3 linked regions of the Neurospora crassa OR74A genome follow. The protein of the gene in region 3 interacts with the protein of the main gene of each other region in a biochemical or structural test. Links are inferred from orthologs where the notes say so. Each region holds a gene or a part of one and is shown on either strand. Other genes may lie near its edges.

Evidence for each region.
Region 1: the proteins of NCU01164 (region 3) and crf6-1 form a complex in vitro, tested with the Saccharomyces cerevisiae proteins (2 studies listed by BioGRID). The link is inferred for Neurospora crassa OR74A from reciprocal best matches to the Saccharomyces cerevisiae genes SPT16 and CHD1.
Region 2: of the proteins of NCU01164 (region 3) and stk-4, one has a biochemical effect on the other in vitro, tested with the Saccharomyces cerevisiae proteins (2 studies listed by BioGRID). The link is inferred for Neurospora crassa OR74A from reciprocal best matches to the Saccharomyces cerevisiae genes SPT16 and STE20.

Annotation. Positions count from the first base shown.
Region 1 is NC_026501.1:4,379,411-4,387,037, reverse strand, and holds the start of crf6-1 (chromodomain helicase, variant), read left to right. Parts: upstream 1-2,898; 5' UTR 2,899-3,066; intron 3,067-3,196; exon of another isoform or gene 3,197-3,519; 5' UTR 3,520-3,547; coding exon 3,548-3,961; intron 3,962-4,015; coding exon 4,016-4,045; intron 4,046-4,100; coding exon 4,101-4,197; intron 4,198-4,261; coding exon 4,262-7,627. Other genes in the region: NCU03061 (translation initiation factor RLI1), read right to left, coding at 1-12. UniProt on the Saccharomyces cerevisiae protein: ATP-dependent chromatin-remodeling factor which functions as substrate recognition component of the transcription regulatory histone acetylation (HAT) complexes SAGA and SLIK. It recognizes H3K4me.
Region 2 is NC_026506.1:2,076,882-2,084,566, reverse strand, and holds the start of stk-4 (serine/threonine-protein kinase ste-20, variant 1), read left to right. Parts: upstream 1-2,956; 5' UTR 2,957-2,980; intron 2,981-3,087; exon of another isoform or gene 3,088-3,164; 5' UTR 3,165-3,747; coding exon 3,748-4,815; intron 4,816-4,875; coding exon 4,876-6,235; intron 6,236-6,380; coding exon 6,381-6,715; intron 6,716-6,843; coding exon 6,844-6,945; 3' UTR 6,946-7,685. Other genes in the region: NCU03895 (hypothetical protein), read right to left, coding at 1,712-1,983, 2,353-2,392, 2,743-2,829. UniProt on the Saccharomyces cerevisiae protein: MAP4K component of the MAPK pathway required for the mating pheromone response, haploid invasive growth and diploid pseudohyphal development. Links the pheromone response G-protein beta gamma subunits to downstream signaling components.
Region 3 is NC_026505.1:3,093,688-3,101,472, forward strand, and holds the start of NCU01164 (transcription elongation complex subunit), read left to right. Parts: upstream 1-3,455; 5' UTR 3,456-4,018; coding exon 4,019-4,195; intron 4,196-4,294; coding exon 4,295-4,379; intron 4,380-4,435; coding exon 4,436-4,557; intron 4,558-4,628; coding exon 4,629-6,234; intron 6,235-6,286; coding exon 6,287-7,395; 3' UTR 7,396-7,785. Other genes in the region: gel-1 (glycolipid-anchored surface protein 5), read left to right, coding at 1-119; NCU01163 (GAF domain nucleotide-binding protein), read right to left, coding at 1,244-1,581, 1,871-1,950, 2,073-2,077, 2,166-2,270, 2,406-2,408. UniProt on the Saccharomyces cerevisiae protein: Component of the FACT complex, a general chromatin factor that acts to reorganize nucleosomes. The FACT complex is involved in multiple processes that require DNA as a template such as mRNA elongation, DNA replication and DNA repair.

The DNA of each region.
Region 1 (7,627 bases), on a different chromosome or scaffold from region 3:
TTTGTCCGACATCTTGTCTGTGATTTCGCTCTGCGGACTGATCGAGATGGGTGACTGTGGGCGGACCGCTATCCTAGGCGCAAAGCGGGAAATGGGGGAGGGGGAGAAATTCTCAAGATGCCGCACGTCTCGGAATACTACGAGCAGAGTGGAGAGGGCCAAACAAGGCGGAGGAGGCTGACACTCTTAAGTTTCTCCAGAGGCAACGTGGGTCGACGCCTGGGTTGTGGACAATGTCAGTTCCCTCGTCTCAAAAAATGTCGAGACCGCTGCACCGTGCGCCGAGTCTGGTGGCAGGGCGGATCGTAAAAAAAAAAGACCCCGCTTGCCCTGATGTGAAGTAAGGTAGGTCGTCGGGCTTCCTACTTAGGTACCTCTAGCCCCGCAACGCTATGTACCAACATGGTAGCAGGGTTGGAGCTACAAAAGAGGTGTAAGCTGAAATGTGCCACGGTTGATAGGTTACCTCTTAAAGGTACCAACTTTACCTTGGTATCTAATGCCAGGTGAAAGCCCACTGTTCCTGTTTCGCTGTCATTGCTTGCCTTAGGTGCCCCGTGTGCACTTTTTGTAGGTATGTAACGACCCTCCATATAAGTAGTAGGTACCTAAATTCCATCTCCCCAGTCGGGCTGAACTCTCAGTCCACCCCATGATTTCTGTCTCAGAATTCCATAACATGACAGGAGCTTCTACTATCCTATCATTGCGGTTGCACCAAGTATCTAGCTGATGTTCACGCAAGTGGTCGTCCACATTGGGTTCCACTTTTACTATTGTTCCTCTGTCCTTTGTTCTGTTTCCGCTTCCCATTGATCTCCCCTTCATTTCAGGACAACTTCTGCCCAAAGATTCTTACAGTGACCCAAGTGGCATCGTGGAGAGTTGGTTAATCATGGGCGTGTACTTAATGTCTTGCTGAAGTCAGTTTGTGCTCATTATCAGCCAAAACAGATCCGAGATCTGCTGAACACAGCCTTACATCGCCTATTTTCCCGAATACATGGTCATCGCTTCCAATGGACGACTATAATGCGGATGATGATGACTAGACAGTTTCATTGATATTGCCACTTTCTCTGTCCAGGTGATGATAGTTTCCTCCGTGGATGAACAGATCCGACCCATCCTTCACAAGTGAGCGTTAATATCTAGTACTCCCTCGGCTAAAGATAATGCGTCAATGGCAGCGTATTGTTTGTTTGGAGGGGAGTACTTGTATGGCCGACGACATCAAGCTTGATCATGACGCTCGGTAGGAGGATGTGCATAGTTACCTAGTTAGGGTTGACAACTAGAAGCGCTCGGACTCCTCCCACAACCGTATCGTTTAAGGAAATCACTCGCAGCATCACGGATGCCGTCAACGATCACGATGCAGAGAGGCGCAGGGTTACTGACATCAAACCGGACTTCCGAACAGAGCTCTGGCTGCCTGTCGACATATGTTTCCTGCGCCCCGGCCGGGCAGTGACTCACAACCAATCTACTCTGATAGCAGTCTATTCCACATGTTGTCGAGGCAGAAATGACATCGGCATCAAGACGTTGAAGATAGTTGCCGACAGAGGTCAATGTTGGCAGTCAAGGAAGGCTGGTGGCCCCAGCAGCACGGGATCGTGTGGATCCATCGTCCTGGACGGATCTGCTCCAGCTGCGCCAGGGAAGCGGTGCCTCTACCATACCCACTTGGACATACTCATAATCTGAAGGGAGTTTAGGACTGGTATTTCTTTGGTCGGATAGGCATGAGACGAGGATAAAATCTTTGATTAGGTATATCTGTTTCTCTTTGACACTTTTGGAGGCTCTCGGATTACGTTTGTGGAATGGGTTAAATAGAGGTGGCCCCGCACAATCACCTACAAGATGTTGTCGTCCTGACTGCCTGCCTGGGTTTGCCTGCGTCGGCTCGCAGTAGGTTCTCTTCGAGCCGGAGCTCCAGTGGCGGGAAATCATCCAAATCACCTTGGTGCCGGTGCTCGCGGTGTACCAAGTTGAAGTGAAGCACCAGGAGAGACCAGTGCATGGCTGGCACCTGCACCGGAGCTGACAAAGAAAACCCCTTCGACGCCAGCATGCCTACCTAGAAAAACCGGGCGACGTCCACGTACCGGGAGTATTCTCAGCTTGTCGTCCATCTTCCATCTTTCCCACCTTGTTGATTCCCAAGTCGCACCGGTACACAGTCGATGTGCCATCAACCGACAACAACACTTCTCTGAATCATTTGTTGTTATATCAACCACATTCCATCCTTGAACTTCTTCCAGTGTTGTATAACCTGATAGCTGAGCGGTCATAACCATACATACCTCCAAGCAATTGAATCGGGAATCGCCCGCTCTCGCCTGCCTCACACCGCCCACGCCGTCTGGAAGGGTACGATCGGAGTGGGCAACCAACGAGCTGGCAAGCTCCAGCAATGATATCCGACCAGGCTCGAGCCGCGTTGGGTTTGTGTCCTGTTATTCGTTCTTTCCAAACCCAAACTTACAAGAAACATTGATCTTACAGATCTTCGTCACACAACTGAAATTCGTGCGTTGTGAGCAAAACGGGCAAGGATCGTGACAGCGCCCATCGGACTGGATTAGGCAAGTGTGCTTCCTCCTGGCGCTACCATCCAGTGAAAGAGAACATCATTGAAGTGGTCAGATCACAAGACACGCGTTACATTTCGGTTTCGGTAATTACGGAGCTGGAACCTTTATGTGGCGGTCCCACACTTGAGTTCGGAGGTTGCTTCCAACGAAACTGACCAATCAGAAAGTGGGACTGAGCAAGCATTGAGTTGAGGGCAAGCGGGCCTCGTCTGAAGCACAAGCCAGGCAGTGGCCCACTGGTGTTGCTGGTTCTGGTTCACCATTTTCATGGATTCTTCTCCTCCGTCCATCACTGCGATTTTCCGCTACACCATCACCACTGCCAGCCCCCTCCCAGGGTCTCCGGCCTTGACCATTTCCCCCACCACCACTCCTCCCACGGCACCGCGATTGTGAATCTCGGGCTTGAAGATTCACTCTGCAGTCTGCTGCCTGGAGGCTCTTAATTCTTCCATGACTTGTGAGTCCAGCCACTGCCGCCCACTGCCCACTGCCCACTGCCCACTGCGTGCCCTGCCCTGCGTATTCGCCTTGCATTTTCCCCATCATTTCGCCCATCGAAGCGGGCCTCGTCGCCCTTGATATCCATCGTCTACCAGCTTGTAGAGGTCGCCAGACCGTCGATTCTTGATGAATATCGCCTCTACAGCTGCCCTAGACCATGGCCTGCTCTCCCGTGCCCTCAGGGCGCCCACACGCGACTGCAATCGCCGTCGCCGTCCGCCTCATCATCCACAGCCTTGCCTCCATCACTTACACGCGAGCCAATGCGACAATCATCATTGAGGGTCGTCCGCTACCCCGATACCGGATTTCTCTGATGATTCCGGGTCGCAAGAGTGGCCTCTTTCCATCGCCCCAAGTAGTGATTCGTAAATGACGCGTACCGCTGGCTGACATCGTCGTCTTACAGCAGGCAGCCTCCGCGTCTAAGTCTCAAAATGTCGACATCTCCCGAATCCGGTCCGGTGTTCGGGCATGTGTCACCGCCGGCGGATGACAGCCACTTCAACTTTACCAACGATACCGAAAGCACGAGCGACCTTTCAGACGTTAATGCCGCCGAGGCCGACCCAAATGACGACGCCGACGCCCAGTCGTATCAGCCTGCCGACGAGGCTGTCTCGCCGATACAAAAACCCGAGTTGACGTTCGAGGAAGCGTCCGATTCAGCAAGTGATAACGACGCGTCAGATGACGGAGACTTTGACGCCCCCGATAGCCCCAGGTCTGCTCAGAGCAACGAAGTCGTGTCTGCCTCGTCGTCCCGTACCGTCGTGAAGCGCAAAGTCGCCCACGCGACCGAGGATGATTACATCAGAGAGAATCCTGCCCTGTATGGGTTGAGGAGGAGTGTACGAATATCCCGCATTCTTGTTGTGTTATACCATGCTAACGACCTACAACAGTCACGCCCTACACAACGCCGTGCGCAGATCGTAAGTGGATCAAGATGAGCTCTCGTCGTTACGCCTCTCCTAACTGAGTAAACAGATCGACTCAGATGAAGAAGATGAACCATCCGAATCGGATGCCACACCGGTGTCTAGAAAGCCTGCGAAGAGACGTCGGGTTGAACGCTCGTTGCCTGGTAAGTTTTCATCCGTCATACTCCTCGGCATTTTGTTTCACTGCTGACTTGTCGTGATTTCCAGCTTCCAAGCGTGGCACTCCTGCTCGCCAACCCTCAATCGATGATTCCGACTCGGACACATATGGAGGCGCCAAAGCCCGCAGCTTCCAAAGAAAGGTCCGCAGGCAACAAGAACAGGACCCTGCCTTGGCTTTTAGCGAAAAGAGATGGTCTAGCCGTCGGGCCGCCCAGGTCTCAGCCGGTGCCTACCAAGAAAGTGACGCCGAAGAAGATGAAGAGGACGACTCCGAGCTTACCCCCAACTACTGGTCTGCCAATGTCGAGGATAACTCGCCATACATCGAGAAAATCCTCGGTCATCGTCCTAAGGAGGGTGTCGAGGTCACGGTGGATTCTACGCGACACGACTTTGAATACTTCATCAAGTGGCAGGGACAATCATATCCCCACAACACCTGGGAAACTACGGAAACTGTCGCAGGCTTCCGAGGCTTTCGCCGCCTCGAAAACTATTACAAGAAGGTTGTTGAGTACGAACTGGAGATGCAATTCGGTGGCGACGATATCAGTCCGGAGCAGAAAGAGCAGTGGTACCTGGATAGAGAACGTGAGCAAGAGGCCCTCGAAGACTACACAAAGGTCGAGCGCGTTGTGGCTGTCAGAGACGGTGATGAGGGCACCGAGTATTACATCAAGTGGAAGGGCCTGCAATACGACGAGTGCACCTGGGAAGCCGAGTCTCTCGTGGCCGAACTTGCTCAGGACAAGATTAACCAGTTCCTCGACCGATGCAACCGGTCATGGCAGTCTGACCGCAAGCAAACTAACCCCGATACCCGGTCGAGGATGACCAAACTGGAGAAGCAGCCTGACTATATCAAGGGCGGCGAGCTTCGCGAGTTCCAAATGAAAGGCCTTAACTTCCTTGCTCTCAACTGGGTAAGGGGCAACAACGTCATCTTAGCCGATGAAATGGGTCTGGGAAAGACTGTCCAAAGCGTCTCGTTCCTCAGCTGGTTACGGAATGAACGCGGCCAGGAAGGACCGTTCCTTGTCGTCGCTCCTCTTAGCGTCATCCCCGCTTGGTGCGATACATTTAATCATTGGGCTCCGGATCTCAATTACGTCGTTTACCTGGGCCCGGAGGCAGCTCGGTCCAACATTCGAGATTACGAACTTTTTGTGGATGGTAACCCAAAGAAGACCAAGTTCAATGTCTTAGTCACTTCCTATGACTACATCTTGGCCGATGCGGATCATCTCAAGAACATCAAATGGCAAGTTCTCGCTGTTGACGAGGCCCACCGTCTCAAGAACCGAGAGTCACAGCTCTACATCAAGCTCAACAACTTCGGCGTTCCTTGCAAGGTCCTCATTACCGGCACACCCATTCAGAACAATCTGGCCGAACTCTCAGCCCTCCTCGACTTCCTTAACCCCGGAAAGGTCGTCATTGATGAGGAGCTTGAAGCGTTGTCTACCGCAGATAACAAAGGTCCCACTGATGAAGAACAGGATGAGGCTAGGCGTATCAGGACCCAAGAGAAGCTCCGCGAGTTGCATCAGTCAATCGCTCCTTTCATTTTGCGTCGCACCAAGGAGACGGTCGAGTCGGACCTCCCCCCCAAAACCGAAAAGATCATCCGAGTTGAGTTGTCTGACGTGCAACTTGACTACTACAAGAACATTCTCACACGCAACTATGCTGCCCTCAGCGACGCGAGCAACGGCCACAAGCAATCGTTGCTCAACATCATGATGGAGCTGAAGAAAGTCAGTAACCACCCGTACATGTTCCAGGGTGCCGAGGAGCGTGTCCTCAACGGCAGCACACGCCGTGAAGACCAGATCAAGGGTCTCATTACAAGTAGCGGCAAGATGATGCTTCTTGATCAGCTGCTGGCAAAACTTAGGAAGGACGGACATCGTGTTCTGATCTTCAGTCAGATGGTCAAGATGCTAGACATTTTGGGTGACTATCTCCGTGTTCGCGGATATCAATTCCAGCGACTCGACGGTACCATTCCTGCCGGCCCAAGACGTATGGCGATCAATCATTTTAACGCCGAGGGCAGCGATGATTTCTGCTTCCTTTTGTCTACCCGCGCCGGTGGCCTTGGAATCAATCTTATGACGGCTGATACTGTCATCATCTATGACTCGGACTGGAATCCCCAGGCCGATCTTCAGGCAATGGCTCGAGCTCACCGTATCGGCCAGAAAAGACCTGTTAATGTCTACCGCCTCGTGGCCAAGCAGACTATTGAAGAGGAAGTTGTAAAGCGAGCCCGCAACAAGCTCTTCTTGGAGTATCTTACCATTCAGGCCGGTGTGACAGATGAAGGCAAGGCTCTCAAAGAGCAGTTCAAGGAGCGCGGCCTCAAGATGGACGAGGCTAAGACCGCTGAGGATATCTCGATGATCCTCAAGATGCGTTCCCAGAACCTGTTCGAACAATCTAGCAACCAGCAGAAGCTGGAGCAGCTCGATATCGATGCTATCCTCGAGAATGCCGAAGTTACCAAAACTGATGTCGATGACAAGATCAACCTGAGCAGTGGTGGTATCGACTGGGATAACTGGATGCAGGTCACCGATGTCAAAGTTGACGATCTCGCCCTTGACTGGGATCAGATCATTCCAGCCGAGCAGCTTGCTGCCATCAAGGCTGAGGAAAATAGAAAGAAGGAAGAGGAGTACTTGGCAAAAACGATAGAGGAGAATGCTCCTAGAAAAGCTGCGTTGAAAGGCTCCAAAAAGAGCGCAGAGAACGATCGAGCTGAGCGTCTGGCAAAGAAGCGACAACGCGAGAGGGAAGAGCAGGAAGAGCTCGAAGAGCAACGTGCATTGCTTTCTGATCCCAAACGCCCCCTCAATGAGAAAGAAACCCGAAACCTTATCAGGGCCTTCTTCAGGTACGGTTCCTTGGACGACCGCGAAGAAGAGGTTGTCCAGGATGCCCGCCTTAGTGATAGAGATCGGGACTTTCTGAAGTCTATTATCGAGGACCTTGTCGTTATCAGTCGCCGCGCTGTAGATGCGAACAACGAGAGACTTCGCGAAGAAGAAGCCAGGGCTGGCAAGCCACTGGCGAAGAAGGATAAGAAGGCTGTACTTGTCGATTTTGGCGAGGTGCGGAAAGTCAACGCAGAGACTGTCGTGGAGCGACCCCCTCAGCTCAAACTCCTGCGTCGCGTCCTCCGGGAGCACGCAGACATTCTCAGTTTCAGGCTTCCCGAAGCTTCCAAGGCTGCCGCATATACTTGCGACTGGGGTGCACGCGAGGATGCCATGCTGCTTATTGGAATCGACAGGTACGGATTTGGTGCGTGGACGCAAATCAGGGACGATCCTGAGTTGCAGATGCACGACAAGTTCTTCCTGGAGGAGCATCGTGTCGACAAACGGGAAGAACGAAAGAAGACGG
Region 2 (7,685 bases), on a different chromosome or scaffold from region 3:
GCAGCACACATGCCGTTCGGGCTCGAGGTGGTATCTGCATGACAAGCGCGATAGGTGCTAGGCTAAAGACACAGGCTCAGGTAGTTACCTACTTACTGTGAATGAAGCAGGTACATCCTCAATGACTGTCTTGAAAGATGAGTGGATCTAACAACAAGCCTTGTCGATGAGTATCTGGCTGAACGTGTGTTGCGAATGGTGACGATTCGCAAAACGAGGTATTGTATAAACTTGGCGCTCCATGGACTAGTAGGCTGTCGGGTTGTCTCTCTCTTGCTTAGCTACGGCTGCTGTAAAATATGCTCGTCTCCCTTTGCTCTTCGATAGAAGGGTGACAGAAAACGGCAAAGACTCGTATAGCGAGTTGCGCCTACGGCATTGTGCACCTCATGATGAGACCTGTCACCGCGTCCAGATTTCATCTGCCAACAAGGTTTTGGAGAAGGAGAGAAGGAGAAACCTCGTTTCACCGAGGAGACACACACAGACAAGCTTTGGATCGTGCTTATATGTTGGCTTACTTGTACGTGGAGGTTTTGTTCGTTTGTTGTGCAATCAAAGAATTCTGTATGGCTGGCTGGGTGCAGTGGTGGGTGCGTGGTCAACTTGCCCGCTAGAAAGCGTAAGACGAAGCCGATCTTGTTATGGAGGCTCTGGTGTTTTCAAAGTGCGAGGCGCTAACCATTTCTATCAAGTTCTCGTAGTATTGCCGTCCTCCGCAGCGTTCTCTCAAACAGTTTCGTCGGATACCTACCATTTAAGGCATGATTCGCCGTCAACCTTGCGGTATTCCAATCTCCTCAAGCTGAGGTGGTGTGTAGTTCAACGCATAAGCAGTAGCAGACAAGCTGTTAGCAAAGAGCGGCTTTGTGATCCAGCATGCATTGTCCAACGTCCGAGCGCAACAAGTTGACAAGAAGGCGACCACGGGGCCTCATAATGTGGTTGCCCAAACCAGAAAATCATCACCGTCTTGCTTGAGTTGCTGGCTTAACCTCTCACACGACTAGCCTGGATAGATCGCATCACGAAACCTGGCGCTATTCCCAATTACATGGAATAGGGATCTGGAGAGCGTGAGTGACTAGCCTGCCGTTCACATCTGGCGGCCAATCGGTAGCAAATGAGTGGCATTCACGACGAACTGTACGTAGCTATACGGCGAAGCAGGAGCCGGCGTTTGCTGGGCTGTCAAACCCATCCGCATACCACAGACCGTGTCCCACAATCTTGCGAAACACAAGGCTCACTGCAGAGTGCAGACACTACAGGGCCAGGCCAGGAGCGCTTGTCCAAGGACTGCTGAGTCTCGATATCGAAGGAAGTTGATCAACTCCTTAAGGACAACATTTCGCGCGCGGAAGGCCTGCTGCGGCCCCACAGGCCGGCCGGCCTTTGGTTTTCACAACGCTCATCGCTTCAAGCCGGTGCGCCCCAGTCGTCCCAGACATGACGCACTGGCCGGGCCACAGAGGCAAGAAAAACGAGTGGACGCCAAACGCCAGGGAATGGGACGCGGAAATCCAAGGACCAAGACGGGCGTTTCGACTCCGCCCGTTTGGCCATATCTACCCCACAAGCCCGGGGCATTTAATCACGGTTGCCGAGAAGCTGCCCCGTATCTGATACGTACCGAGGGGCTAAATCTTGGCTGATGAGCGTGATGGCGATGTGTCGATACGAAATGGTTTCCCGTTTTCAAAAAGTTCAATTATGCGAATACATAGCACGGTCCTATCGCGCCGAGCTTGAACACGCGAGGAGCATGAGCACCTCCCACCTCACTGTGCGCAGGAGGAGGGGTTGTCCCGGCCGTGATTGACGCGGGCAAGCAGAGATTGCGGCTGTGTTGTATGTAGATAGAGGTACTGTACTGACTGTCGAACAGAGACCACAGAACACCGCAGAGGTTGCACGCAGACTCGTTCTCCAAGATGCCAGGCCAGATCAGGATCGGAACCTGGAATGCCCTCGAGTTGACGTCTACATTGGAATCGAATCAAGCTGACGGCGTCAAGCAAGGTCCAGAGCGGGTGTTGGAAGCAACCTCGACGACATGATGCCAAAGTCAAGAGGAAACGAGGGGAAAAGGTTGAAGAGGTGGTGGCGCCCTGGTCCCTGTCAGTCTCCCGTGCAGAGTGTCCCCGCCATCGCCGTTCCGTTGCCGCCGGCGGTTGAACAAAAAAGTGGGCAGGTGAACTGATGGAACTTGAAGCCTCTCACAGGCGCCTTTTCGTGGTGTTGTAGTGGTAGCAGTGGCAGCAGTGGTCGAAAGTGGCTCTCTTCAACTGCAATGGCACTGCACCAGGCAGTCTAGGTAGTCCCACTCTCCCGTCCCCCACCCGTCCCCACCTGCCCTGTCTGGCAGAGGGGACGGGACTGAGATGTAGAACTAGAGGTAGGTAGTGTAGTGTAGTGTAGACTTCAGTTGCTTCCCAGAAGGCCGGACACACTCCCGCTGTCTGTCTAGAAGCCGAAAAGTGCATGTGCTGCCCTCTTGTTGTGCGGTGCAGTGTGCAGATGCAGCAAGCAACAGCCGCCCGACAGCAGTCACGAAGCATTCGAAGGGAATAGGTAGACCTAAGACCGACACAACCTCAATCATAGTATGCTTCCCTGAACTTTGCGTCCGGGCTTCCTTGTCTCCAATTCTCATTTGGCATCTGCAGGCCGAGTGTCCCCGCCCCGCCCGCCGTCCGACCGTCAGCAACACCGGACGACAGCCAGACAACTTCAGACGACAGCAGCAGTAGCAGCCCAGCAGTAGCAGCCCAGCAGTAGCAGGAGCAGCAGCAGCATCGCCGCGCATAGCCGACACCCGTCCGCCATCTTGGGTTCACTCATTTGAGCCCGGCCAACAATAAGTCGATAACGAGTTTGACGAGATTCGTAAAATTCGACAACCCACAAACTGTCAACGGCCACACATCGACACCGACTCGTACAAAGTTGGACCACCATTGGACACACCCTGCCCAAAGCAAGCAATCCCCCGCGCCGCCCAACCAGTCACCCACTTTATCCAAGTCATCCAATCCCTCTCCAGTCTGCGCACTTGTAGCACCAGCACCATACTGCTTGGACTATGCCCGACCTTGCCCTGCTCAATCATCAATTGGGTGCCGTCCACAAGCTAACGTCTGCTCACCACTCTCAAAAGGTAGCCGGACCCTGACCTTCTGATAAGCATACTAAAAAGCTTCGAGATCCATCAAAAATAAATCGTCATTCAAATAGTCTAGAGAAAACAAGCGGAAAAGTGAAAAGCGCCAGCCTAGTCCGAGTTCCCACACAGCAGTAACAACAGAAAGCATCACCCCTTCTTCAACGTACCCAGTCCCCGCCAAACCCAGCATCGCCGGCGGTCCGGGGTCTGTCTTTTTTTCCTACCTTGTACCTTCAACTTGTACACAATCCCACCACAAACCAAAGCGCAATTTTCGACCGGCATCAAGCTTCCAGGATCCCGTCCCCCTTCAATTGTCGACTTTTTTGCTCTTGTCCGTTCTGTGTCTGTGATTCTGGCCTGCCAACTTATCCCGCCCGCCTCAATAACTGCTGCCACCCCCCCAATTCCCGTCTCTTCTCCCAAGTCTCGCCTTCTTTTGGTTGACCCGGCCCCCAGCCAAACCGTCCGCCAGTACCGTACGTTGAACATCTTCCTTGTCTTTTCTTATTCTTAGTTACCCCATCTCGTAGCCCTCGTGCCCTTCCCTACGCTAGGGTTGGGTTTCTCTCGCAGTGACCATGGACGGCCAGCTCTCCCTCCTCTCGCCCACCTCGTCCTCCTCCACTTCGCATAGTCGCAAAAGACTCACAAAGAAGCAACGCCCGCCATCCGCAAATCACCGCACTAGCTCCTCTTTCAATGTCGAATCGCTCCGTATTGACGCCCAATCTCTAGACAGCAAACGGAGCGCCTCCAGCCTGCGCCAGGGCCCCAACTGCAACCAAAGCCCATCTCTGGCCAGGACCGTATCCGTCCCAGTCTCCGTCCCTTCAAACGCGCCCGCCCACACCAAAGCCAGCGACCTCTCTCTGCCACGCTCCCACACCACTCGCTCTCAATCCGCAAATCGCCCTTACAATCCGACGCAGACAATACCAACCAACCGCTTTATCCTCTCGCCGGCCTCATCGTCGCAACCCCAAACTCAATCGCCGCCTTATCCCAGCGCTGTTGCCAGCACCACCGTTACTAGCTCCAGGAACAAGGACACATCCAAGCAGTACGACCCACTAGACTCCTGCATTGGATCCTTCGATCAAAACAAATTATCCACGGATGAACTGATTGGCGCTCCATTCGACGGCAACGCCATTCTCAGTCGAATCGAGGCAACAAAATTATCAGCCGCGCCCGCGCCCACGTCCACGACCACGATTGCGCACTCCAACAACATTTCTCCTCGTCGTGTCGCTCCTCCTCCTCCTCCTCCCCCGCCTGCTCTATCGCGCTCAAACACGGACTCCAAGGCTGCGAGATCTTCAAAACCGTCAAAGTCGCCCAAATCCACCATATCAAACAAGACCATGGGCGCATCTTCATTCCGCCACTCGGCGAGTTTCTCGTCGGCTGAACAACTTCCGCCAAGCGAAAAGCCGTCCAAGTCAGAGAGCAGCTCTTCGAGTAACAAGAGACACTCCGGTGATGGTAAAGAGTCCAGGGTGCCCGGTATGCTAAGGAAGAAGTCGGGCTTCTCCGGCTTCATGAACAGCTTAGTTGGGTCTCCGAAAAAGCCATTGATTTCGGCGCCAGAGAACCCCGTTCACGTCACACACGTCGGATATGATAGCAATACTGGCCAGTTCACGGTATGTTGCCATGCCATGTCAACTAGTCTGAATGTTATGGATGGACTAATACGTTGATAGGGTTTGCCAAAAGAGTGGCAGCGTTTGATAAGCGAGAGTGGAATCACTGAGAAGGACAGAAGAGAACACCCACAAATACTGGTCGATGTCCTCACATTTTACAAGGAGACAACCGAGAAGCCACAGGAAGATCAACAGCTAGAGAAGTTCCACGATGCACGAGCGACAGATTTTCGCAGCCCGCCCGTGACCGGCACCGCTCCGCTCGTACTGCAAACAGGCGTTGGCTACGCTCATGGTCCCATGTCGCCAATGATTAGTCCACCCGCTAGTCCTAGGTTTCCTCAAGTTGGTCATGAGGGCAGCTTTGAGAACCCCCGTGCGCCGCCGCCGGTTCCCAAGGGCCCTGGCCCTCTTCCAGCAAAGGATATCAACTTGATCCCCAGCAGACCGGCACCGAAGCCACCAGCAATATCCACACGACCGCTGGTGCCGCCAGCCTCATTGCCAGCCAAGGATTCAGGAATTGGCATGCCACCGCCCGGTGATGAGGCTCCGATGCCGTACCTCCCTCCCAAGGATAATGTCCAGCATATGTACCAGGAGGAGCACAGGAACAGGTCCAGATCGAATTCCCGGACAAACGGCGCTGCCCCGTTCTCTCCCGTGCAGGCGTCCCCACTGCATCCGATCGCCACGGCGAACCAGACTGCGGCTTATCAGCAGCAATTGTTGCAACACCAGCAAGAACAGGCCATGGCCCAAGCCCAGGCAGCAATGAGCGGTCAACTGAGCCGAGCTGCAAGCAAGAGACAACAACCAACTCCGCCCACCTCACAACACCAACACCCCCGGCAGCCAGACATCAATGGGGCTCCTCGTATGCCACAGACTCAGGGGGCGGCTCCCCAAGCTAGCGCGAGACCCCGTCACAGACCGCGGCAAAGTAACGCGATTGATGTCGTGGCTTCCCTAAAGAGGATATGCTCCGACGGGGATCCGAGAGAGATTTATCGTGGGTTTACCAAAATTGGTCAGGGTGCCTCTGGTGGTGTGTATACTGGCCATGAAAGGGGAAGCAACAGGCTGGTGGCTATCAAGCAGATGAACCTTGAGCAACAGCCAAAGAAGGATCTCATCATCAATGAGATTTTGGTTATGAAGGAGAGCTCACACCCCAATATTGTCAACTTTATTGACAGTTACCTATGTGCTGGGGAATTGTGGGTAGTCATGGAATACATGGAGGGTGGTAGCTTGACGGATGTTGTCACGTTCAACATCATGACTGAAGGGCAGATCGCGTCAGTTTGCCGAGAAACCCTCAGAGGCCTTCAACATCTGCACTCCAAGGGCGTCATACACAGAGATATCAAGTCAGACAACATTCTCCTTAGCATGGAAGGCAATATCAAGCTCAGTAAGTTTTCCCCTTCGGGCTTTTTGGGCAGTCTCCGAAAGTTCAAACTTTTTGAGCATTTTCCTGTTCATTTTCCCACCATCTTCAACCCCCAACGCCCATCTGGTGCTGTGACCCGATTCTAACCCTTGTTCTTCCACCATAGCCGATTTTGGATTCTGTGCTACAATCAACGAAGCTCAAAGTAAGCGTACGACAATGGTCGGCACGCCTTATTGGATGGCGCCCGAGGTTGTGACACGTAAAGAGTACGGCCGCAAGGTGGATATCTGGTCATTGGGCATCATGGCCATCGAGATGATTGAAGGAGAGCCTCCCTACCTGACCGAGTCGCCTCTTCGAGCGCTTTGGCTCATTGCGACCAACGGCACGCCGCACATCAAGGATGAGCAGTCACTCTCACCAGTTTTCCGCGACTTCCTCTACTTTGCCCTCAAGGTGGACCCGGAGAAGAGGGCCAGCGCTCATGATCTACTAAGGGTAAGTCTTGGTTCGCCCCTGCATTTTGAATGGCCCTCTGTTTGCGGCTCTTCACCTGCTACGTTACGCTACCAGGCTCAAGGAGATGGTGATATTTCCGCCGGGCACCGAGCTAACTCTTGTAACAGCACGACTTCATGAACAAGTGCGTCGACCTATCAACACTGGCGCCCCTTGTCCGAGCAGCAAGGGAAGCCCGAGCCCAAGAGAAGGCCCGTAAAGGGCAGTAGTGTATGATTCTTCTAGGCGTTCTGTGCTGTACACGCACGCACGAGAGATATTCCCCTGGAGCGTTATTGTTTCACATCCCCCTTTTTGTTCTTTAATTTTTTTTTCTTTTTTTTTTTTCCCCTTCTGGGTTCTAAAGCAATTCTCTTCTGCAGCAGAGATTTGTGGATTAGGTGTGGTTATCAACCCTATCTCTACCTTTACGTGGCCGGTCAGGTCTTGATTTTGCATCTGCTGGAATTTCTTTCTTGGTTCGAGATATCTGTGGGTACCCGACACATAACATATGTACTTCGATCCTTAAACGCCAATTCTTCTAGGACTTTTTCTTTATCTTTGTTCACGAACGAAGGATATTCTGCCCCAACGAGCGAAGCGAACCCGGAGCACACACGTATACACACCTCTACACAGGAGGAAAAAACGAACCGTTGCACAGCGAGCGGAATACGAAATGCAAAGTATGCAAGCAAACAAGCCGAAATCACAGCGAAGTAGGCATAGCACAGCGAGCCGGAGCGCGACGGATGTTTTATGTTTGCTGGTTTCCTCGATACGGCAACGGCCTTTCGAGATACACAGGTAACTGAAGTCTTTGCCTTCTTTACGGGTTATTACGGAATTCGGGTTGGGAAACTGGGAATTGTCAAGAGGCGGAACATCTTTTTTTCTTGGTTACGGATGATATTTATGGCAACTATACAACATGGACGAAGAATTTGAACTGCTGCACCAAGATGGA
Region 3 (7,785 bases):
GCGTCGAGAGCCAGAAGAAGTCCGGAAGCACCCGCGGTATCGGCTCCGTTGACAAGGCTCCTTTCGTCGTCACCGGATTGGTCATGTTCTTCACCTTGACCGGCACCCTTCTTCTCTAGGTCAAGGAACGATGTAGTTTGGCGTTTGCTGGATCTACAAGTTAATGATGAGGTGTTGAAAGCTGTCGTCCAGCTGGATTTTGCAGCGCAATGTATAGCATAGAATAATGTTTTTTTTTCTTTTTTTTTACTCTTATTCTTCTTTACTAAGAACGTGACAAACATAATCCATGGAGACACAATGTCTCCGAGTTTGGATTTTATTGAAAATACCTACATCAGGAAGTTGTTCTTGAGGTTTTCTTTTCCTTGGGATATTCTGCCGACCTGCTGATTAAATCGACCAAGGCTTGCTTGTTGAGTGTCCACTTCTATTGCCAAACACCCTAGTTCCTTTTGTTTTGCAACTGAACAATGGTAGGATGGTATATATATAACTCACCTTCCTCTTTCGCAGCAAGAACAAAGTGCTTCACAAGTTCATCCTGTCCGTACCTTCTTTGATAAAGGGAGGACAAACACCATTGGACAAAGTCTAAACCACCTGCAGTCGCCGTGCTTGCCCTTGATACTCAAGCGACCAGTACAGACCAAGGTGACAGGATCTCCTCCGGACCATGTATATCACTCACCGAGTCCAACACTGGTCTAATTAGTTGAGCGAGGGTCTCTCTGCAGTGTGCCGTACCCGACCCCGGTTCACGAAGAGGCCCCGTGTTCAACTCGGTTGCAGGTCATGAAAATCTTTCGAGCAAAGCCGGGATTCTGGTATGCTGCCAACGACTTTCCGTGTTTGCTCCCTACTAAAATGGTAAGTAGTGTCCTGCTACAGTTGACTCTTTTAGTGGGTTTTTTTTTTCTTCTTCGGTTGTTGTTCTGTTCTTCCCGCACTCTCTGTTTTTCTGTGTCACACCTGGTGAATAAGATCAAGACGAGACCGGAGGACCTAGTGTGAGAGGTGGCTGTCTGCGAAAGAAGACGAAATAGGTAGTCTGACCAATCACCAACACGAAGAAAACTGATGTCTGTTCCCATCCATATCTCTAGGTATCTCATCAGCAGCCCAAAGCCCCCATTTATCCTCCACATCTTTAAACCCCAACAAGTCTTCTCACCCTCATTCCACCCCTCCCCTACTATGGACCAATCTTCCCTTACTCCCCATTGCGCAAGCTTTCAAAAATTCAAGGCCAGTCACAGCTCCTGCCCACCAAATCCGCCAACTTCTCCAACCACACCTTATCGACCTCATCGAACCCGTTCAGCTCCGCACAGTCCACATCGATGATGGCCACCACCCTATCATCCACCACAATGGGAACCACAATCTCGCTCTTGCTGTCGCCGTCGCAGGCGATGTGGCCGGGAAAGGCGTCGACGTCGGGAACGAGCTGAGTGGTCTTGGTGGCGGCTGCGGCACCGCATACGCCCCTGCCGAAGGCGATGGTTTGGCAGGCTACTTTACCTTGAAAAGGGCCTAGAATGAGTTCGGTAGTGGAGGGGTGGTTGAGGGTGTAGAAGCCTATTATGTGGGCGGGTTAATTTGGATTTGGAAGAGGCTAAAGGAAAAGAGGGGAAGGGAGAGAGAAAGAGAGAGTCAAGTGTAGTGAGATGAGACGTATAGGTGTGTTTGACAGGCAAAGTAGTGACGCAGTGAGGAGAGGGAGATGTTGTCCAAAAAGGACAGGAATTTTCGACGAAGCAAGGTAAAATGAAAACTGAAAGAAGAGATAACGACCGTTGAACAAGCAGAGGTAGGAAGAAAAAGCTGGATTGGATCTTGAACAAAGATGAACACAACAAATACTTACCAGCCCAGTTGACCTGGTTGCTCGGAGCCGGAAGAGACTTGAAAGCGTGCCAGAGAAGGGCAGCGCAGTTGGACAAATTGCTATTTTTTAAAGAGTACATTAGCACTACAATGAGGATCTTGTACGTTCCATCTGTTGTTTTCAGGACGGACCATCCCGAGAAGGGGCTGTAGGGTACATGTGGGAGCCAACGTCGACTTACCAAACCTAACGAATGTCAATCATTCAGGTCACCTTTTTAGACATTGTCCCTTCCTGATGTGGTGGTGCAAGCAGGCTTGGTTCCTCATCTTACCCAGTTCCTCTGCTCATAGAACAGACCTTCAGCTTGGTCAAGAACCTGCTGGTAGGCCTCTTCCTTGGTGACGTTGGCAGCAAAGTTGGAAGCGTCGGCGTGAACCTATAAGACGAATACCGTGTTAGTCTCAACCGTCCTCAAGTTTGGAGAAGCCTGTAGTTCGTAGGTAGGTATGCGCGATGAGGTCTTCAACTGTCTCGAAACAAAGGATTGGACTGATTGAAACTGTTCACGAACCATTTTGACGTATTATTATGACCCTGTTCTTTCTATGTACAAATCTTGAAAATCGACCTAGAGTGGTGGTGTTGGACACCGAGGAAGCGAACTTCAACTTTTGAAATTTGTCATTCACTTCTGAATCCGGGGAAGTGGGGCCAAATGGCACTGCTCCGGTCGGGTCCGTGCGGAACTGCCGCCGTACCGGCAGCCGATGGGCCGGCCCCGAGTGGCCTCCGGTGGATTCACGGTTTCGATCCCAAAGAGGACCGGACTGAATCACCAGCCGGATAAAGGAATCCAAGATAATTGTGCGGATACTTACTAGATGGTGTGGGAGGCTCGTCCTCGCTTCATACTGGGCAGGATACAGCTCAAGGGCCCTTCTCGGAAGTTGTGCTGATGGCAGCTTGTCTTCTATTAGTGATCTGGACCTTATGATGTGCTGTCTAAGTTACCCGAACCAAGGTCCAGAAGATGCCCAAATGGTTGTCGAGACGGCAGCGGGAACTACTTATTTTTGCAGTACAGCAGCTCGCTTTGCAGTGAACGTCAAATCACGGACAAGTGATTGGTTCGATGGGCACAGTTCGTCGTCTTCCACCATTCAGTAAAGTTTCCCGTCGGGCAGATGTTAGCCAATTTTTCCATCTCATGGCGGTATCTTCCAGAATGCCGATCTATCAAGTATAGATGTGAAACATCACAGGTTTTCCGAGCGGCATCTTGGACATTGCTCTTTGCACTTGTACGCGGTGTCTGGGCCCGTCGAGTCTATTCTTGAAGATAGTGTTGCTGTCGTTTCGCACAGTGATTGCCATCACTCGTTCATTTATTCATTCAGGTTGACATGGGTATCAGCTCTAGGTTGATCGCTGCTGAGGACGTTCTTTGCGTCGAAGTAAAGAAAGGTGAGTTCTGGTTAGTACGTCTACTAGTATTTAAATGGAAGAAGTTCGGCACCCCAGAGCTTCCATCGCTTGCCAAGACTTAGTTTAATCGTACCTGTGCATTGGAAACTTAGCTCCACCCCTCCCGTCCCTCTGTTTCCATTCCACGCCCTGTCCCGCCTGTCCCTCTTTCATCTCCATGCACTCGCTGCAGGGCACCTAAAGAAAGAGGTACAAGTTCGACTTACAAAGTTAACAGAATCGCAAGTTGTTGGAAGTCCCGACGACACCATTTACGCTCGTCTATTTCCATCATTCATCAATATACTTCTCTACGATTCCCATACTACAGACCTTTCAGGAATATCACCATTGCCGTGGCAACCAGCATATATAGTTGCCTCAGGCACAGAACAGAACCTCTTAGGCATCCTAACGCGAAGGCAGTGGACAGGGGCGCCAAGAGCTGTGGCCCGTGACGTGAGCGACGCGCGACACGGGAATTTTTGTGTCTTTGGCCTGGAACCGGATCCCGGCTGGCAAGCACTGTAAAGTACTAGCAGTGCCGGCTGGAGAGGTGTGGTAGCCTTGTTTCTGTCATCTTGAAGGGTGTCTGCCGCCACCGTCAGTACCAGAGCAAGCAGCCCCTCGCCAAAAGCACGACTTCACCCAAACCCAAACCTCTGCTGATTTGATTGTTTCTGCCATCTTCAATCGCGCGCCGCTGTGCCGTCGCTCATCATGGCAGACATCAAAATCGACAGCAAGGTCTTCCAGGAGCGCGTCTCGCACTTCTACAATGCCTGGAAGGCCGACAAGCGCTCCGGAGACGCTCTCTTCGGTGGCGTCTCTTCCATCGTCATCCTGATGGGCAAGGTCGACGAGAACCCCGAGTTTCACAAGAACAACGCTATCCATGTGAGTTTTGCCCTCTGGAGAGCCCGCTCGGCGTGCGCTGGCTGTACGTCTGGCGGGCCATTCCAGTCAAATGACAGCTGCTGATAGCTCTACGTAAAGTTCTGGCTGCTAGGTTACGAGTTCCCGACGACCCTCATGCTGTTTACCCTCGACACCATCTACATTCTCACCACCCAAAAGAAAGGTTCGCCCGGTATTCCCGACCCAAGAACGCGGACAAACTATCTGACACGTTAATAGCCAAGTACCTCGACCAAGTGAAGGGCGGCAGATACCCCGTTGAGGTCCTCGTGCGGGGGAAGGACGCCGCCGAGAACGAGAAGCTTTTCATCAAAATTACGGATGCCATCAAGGCTGCGGGCGTAAGTTACATCCCATCCTGGGCGCACATCAACATCTCGGTGCGGTTCTAACACATTTTCGCTCGTTATAGAAGAAGGTTGGCGTCCTTACCAAGGACACCTCCAAGGGCCCCTTTATCGACGAATGGAAGAAGGTCTATGCCGATAACTGCAAGGATGTGGAGGAGGTTGACGTTGCCCAGGCTCTGTCTGCTGGCGCCTTCTCCGTCAAGGATGAGACCGAGCTTCGTGCCATGCGGACCTCGTCCAAGGCTTGCGTCGCCCTCCTGACCCCTTACTTCCTCGACGAAATGTCCAATATCCTCGACCAAGATAAGAAGATCAAGCACAGCGCACTAGCCGATAAGGTCTTCAACAAACTGGAAGACGATAAGTTTTGGAAGACCGTCGAGCTGCCCAACCGACAGAAGCTCCCGGCTGACCTCGATCCCGAGCAGCTGGACTGGATTCTGGGACCGATCGTCCAAAGTGGTGGCAAATTTGACCTGAAGTGGCAGGCTGATTCTGACAATGATATACTCCACCCGGGAATTATCATCGCGGCTATGGGTCTCAGATACAAGTCCTATTGCTCCCAAATCGCCAGAACTTTCATGGTCGATCCCAACAAGTCCCAAGAAAGCAACTACAAGTTCCTACTTGCTGTCCACAACCTCATTCTCAAGGAGATCCGGGATGGTGCCATTGTCAAGGATGTTTACACCAAGGCCTACAACTTTGTGCGGTCCAAAAAGCCCGATCTTGAGAAGCACTTTCTTAAGAACGTCGGCTTTGGAATCGGCCTGGAGAACAAGGACCCGACCTTGATTCTCAACAACAAGAACACCCGTACCCTTAAGGATGGCATGACACTGGTTGTGACCACCGGCTTCAGTGATATCCAGAACCCCAACCCCCAAGACAAGAACAGCAAGGTCTATTCCTTGATCCTTTCCGATACGATCCGTGTCACTAGCTCCGAGCCGGTGGTGTTTACTGGCGAGGCGCCTGTCGATGTTGATGCCACCTCGTTCTTCTTCAAAGATGAGGAAGAAGCACAGCCCACACCGAAAAAGGAGAAGCGGGACTCTAGGGTGGGTGCCGTTGCAACCAAGAACATCACTAGCACTCGTCTACGCTCTGAGCGTAATACAACGGTAGATGAGGACGCGGACAAGAGACGTCGCGAGCATCAGAAGGAACTCGCGCAGAAGAAACAGAAGGAAGGCTTGGCCAAATACGCCGAATCTACCGCTGATGAGAATGGCGTCGAAATCAAAAAGTTCAAGCGCTTCGAATCTTACAAGCGGGATAATCAATTCCCGCCCAAGGTTAAGGATATGGGCATCGTTATTGATCAAAAGAACGCGACCATAGTACTGCCTGTTATGGGCAGGCCGGTACCCTTCCATATCAACACCATCAAGAACGCAAGCAAGAGTGACGAGGGCGAGTGGTCATTCTTGAGAATCAACTTCCTATCTCCTGGCCAGGGTGTGGGTCGGAAGGATGAGCAGCCCTTCGAAGATGCATCTGCGCACTTCGTCAGGAGCTTGACTTTCAAATCAACCGATGGCGATAGGTATGCTGACATTGCAAACCAAATCTCGAACCTCAAACGAGACGCTGTCAAGAAGGAGCAGGAGAAGAAGGATATGGAGGACGTAGTTGAGCAGGACAAGCTCGTTGAAATCAGAAGTAAGTCGCTTTCCCGGATCAATTGTATTGCAACATACTAATTAACTATCAGACCGTCGGCCCGCCGTATTGGATAATGTCTTCATCCGGCCGGCCATGGAGGGCAAGCGTGTGCCTGGTAAGGTGGAAATTCACCAGAACGGTATTCGCTACCAGTCACCTCTCAGCACAACGCAACGCGTGGATATCCTCTTTTCCAACGTTCGCCACCTTTTCTTCCAACCATGTCAGCACGAGTTGATTGTGATCATCCACATCCACCTCAAGGATCCCATTATCATTGGAAACAAGAAGAAGACGAAGGATGTCCAATTCTACAGGGAAGCCACCGACATCCAGTTCGACGAGACCGGCAATCGGAAGCGCAAGTATCGTTATGGTGATGAGGATGAGTTCGAGGCTGAACAGGAGGAACGCCGGCGCCGCGCAGAGCTGGATCGCCTGTTCAAGTCGTTCGCGGAAAAGATTGCCGAGGCGGGCCGCAACGAAGGCATTGAGGTGGACATGCCACTCCGCGACCTTGGTTTCAACGGTGTACCGTTCCGCAGTAACGTGTACATCCAGCCCACCACGGAGTGTCTCATCCAGATCACCGAACCTCCATTCATGGTTATCACCCTTGAGGACATTGAAGTCGCACATCTGGAACGTGTTCAGTTTGGTCTCAAAAACTTTGATCTGGTGTTTGTCTTCAAGGACTTCACGAGGCCACCATACCACATCAACACCATTCCTGTCGAGTCTTTGGAAGACGTCAAGGAGTTCCTTGACTCGTCTGACATTGCCTTCTCAGAGGGTCCTCTCAACCTCAACTGGGGTGTCATCATGAAAACGGTCACTGCCAATACCCACCAATTTTTCTTGGATGGTGGCTGGGGCTTCCTGCAGAACGACAGCGACGACGACGAAGTGGAGGAGGAGGAAGAGGAGAGCGCCTTCGAAATTGACGAGAGCGAATTGGAGGACGCTTCCGAGTCTAGCGAAGAGGATTCCGAATACGACTCCAACGCCTCGGAGGAGGCCAGCGATGAGGCGGAAGACAGCGAGGAGGAGGAGGGCGAGGATTGGGATGAGCTGGAGAGGAAGGCTAAGAAGCGTGACAGGGAGAGCGGCTTCGACGACGAGGAGGAACGTGCGGCACCCAAGAAGCGGAGAAAGTAGACTGATTAGACCCGGTCTTCGTTCGCTTGAGCTCTTCTCGCGATATGACAAGGTTAATCGGTTGACATTTATTTTCCTTGTGAGTTTGCATATCTTGGGAAAAGGGTTTCAAAATCGGGCCTGTGTACAAGTTTGGCTTTTTTTCAGACTTTCCCTTTTTTTCCTCTTTCCTATGTCGGCGTGGATTTGATTTTGCGCGGTCTTTTTTTCTCTCTTCCAATGGGCAAATTTGTCTGGCGTGCAAATGGGATATATTGTTTGGTACTGTAGTTGTATGAACATGGTAGGTAGTAGTAAACTACTTGTTTTACACAATCTGGCATGGTGAGTGATACCGTACTTTAATTGAAGTTGTCACAGGAAATGAAAATGAGCTTGTGGTTTTCTTTT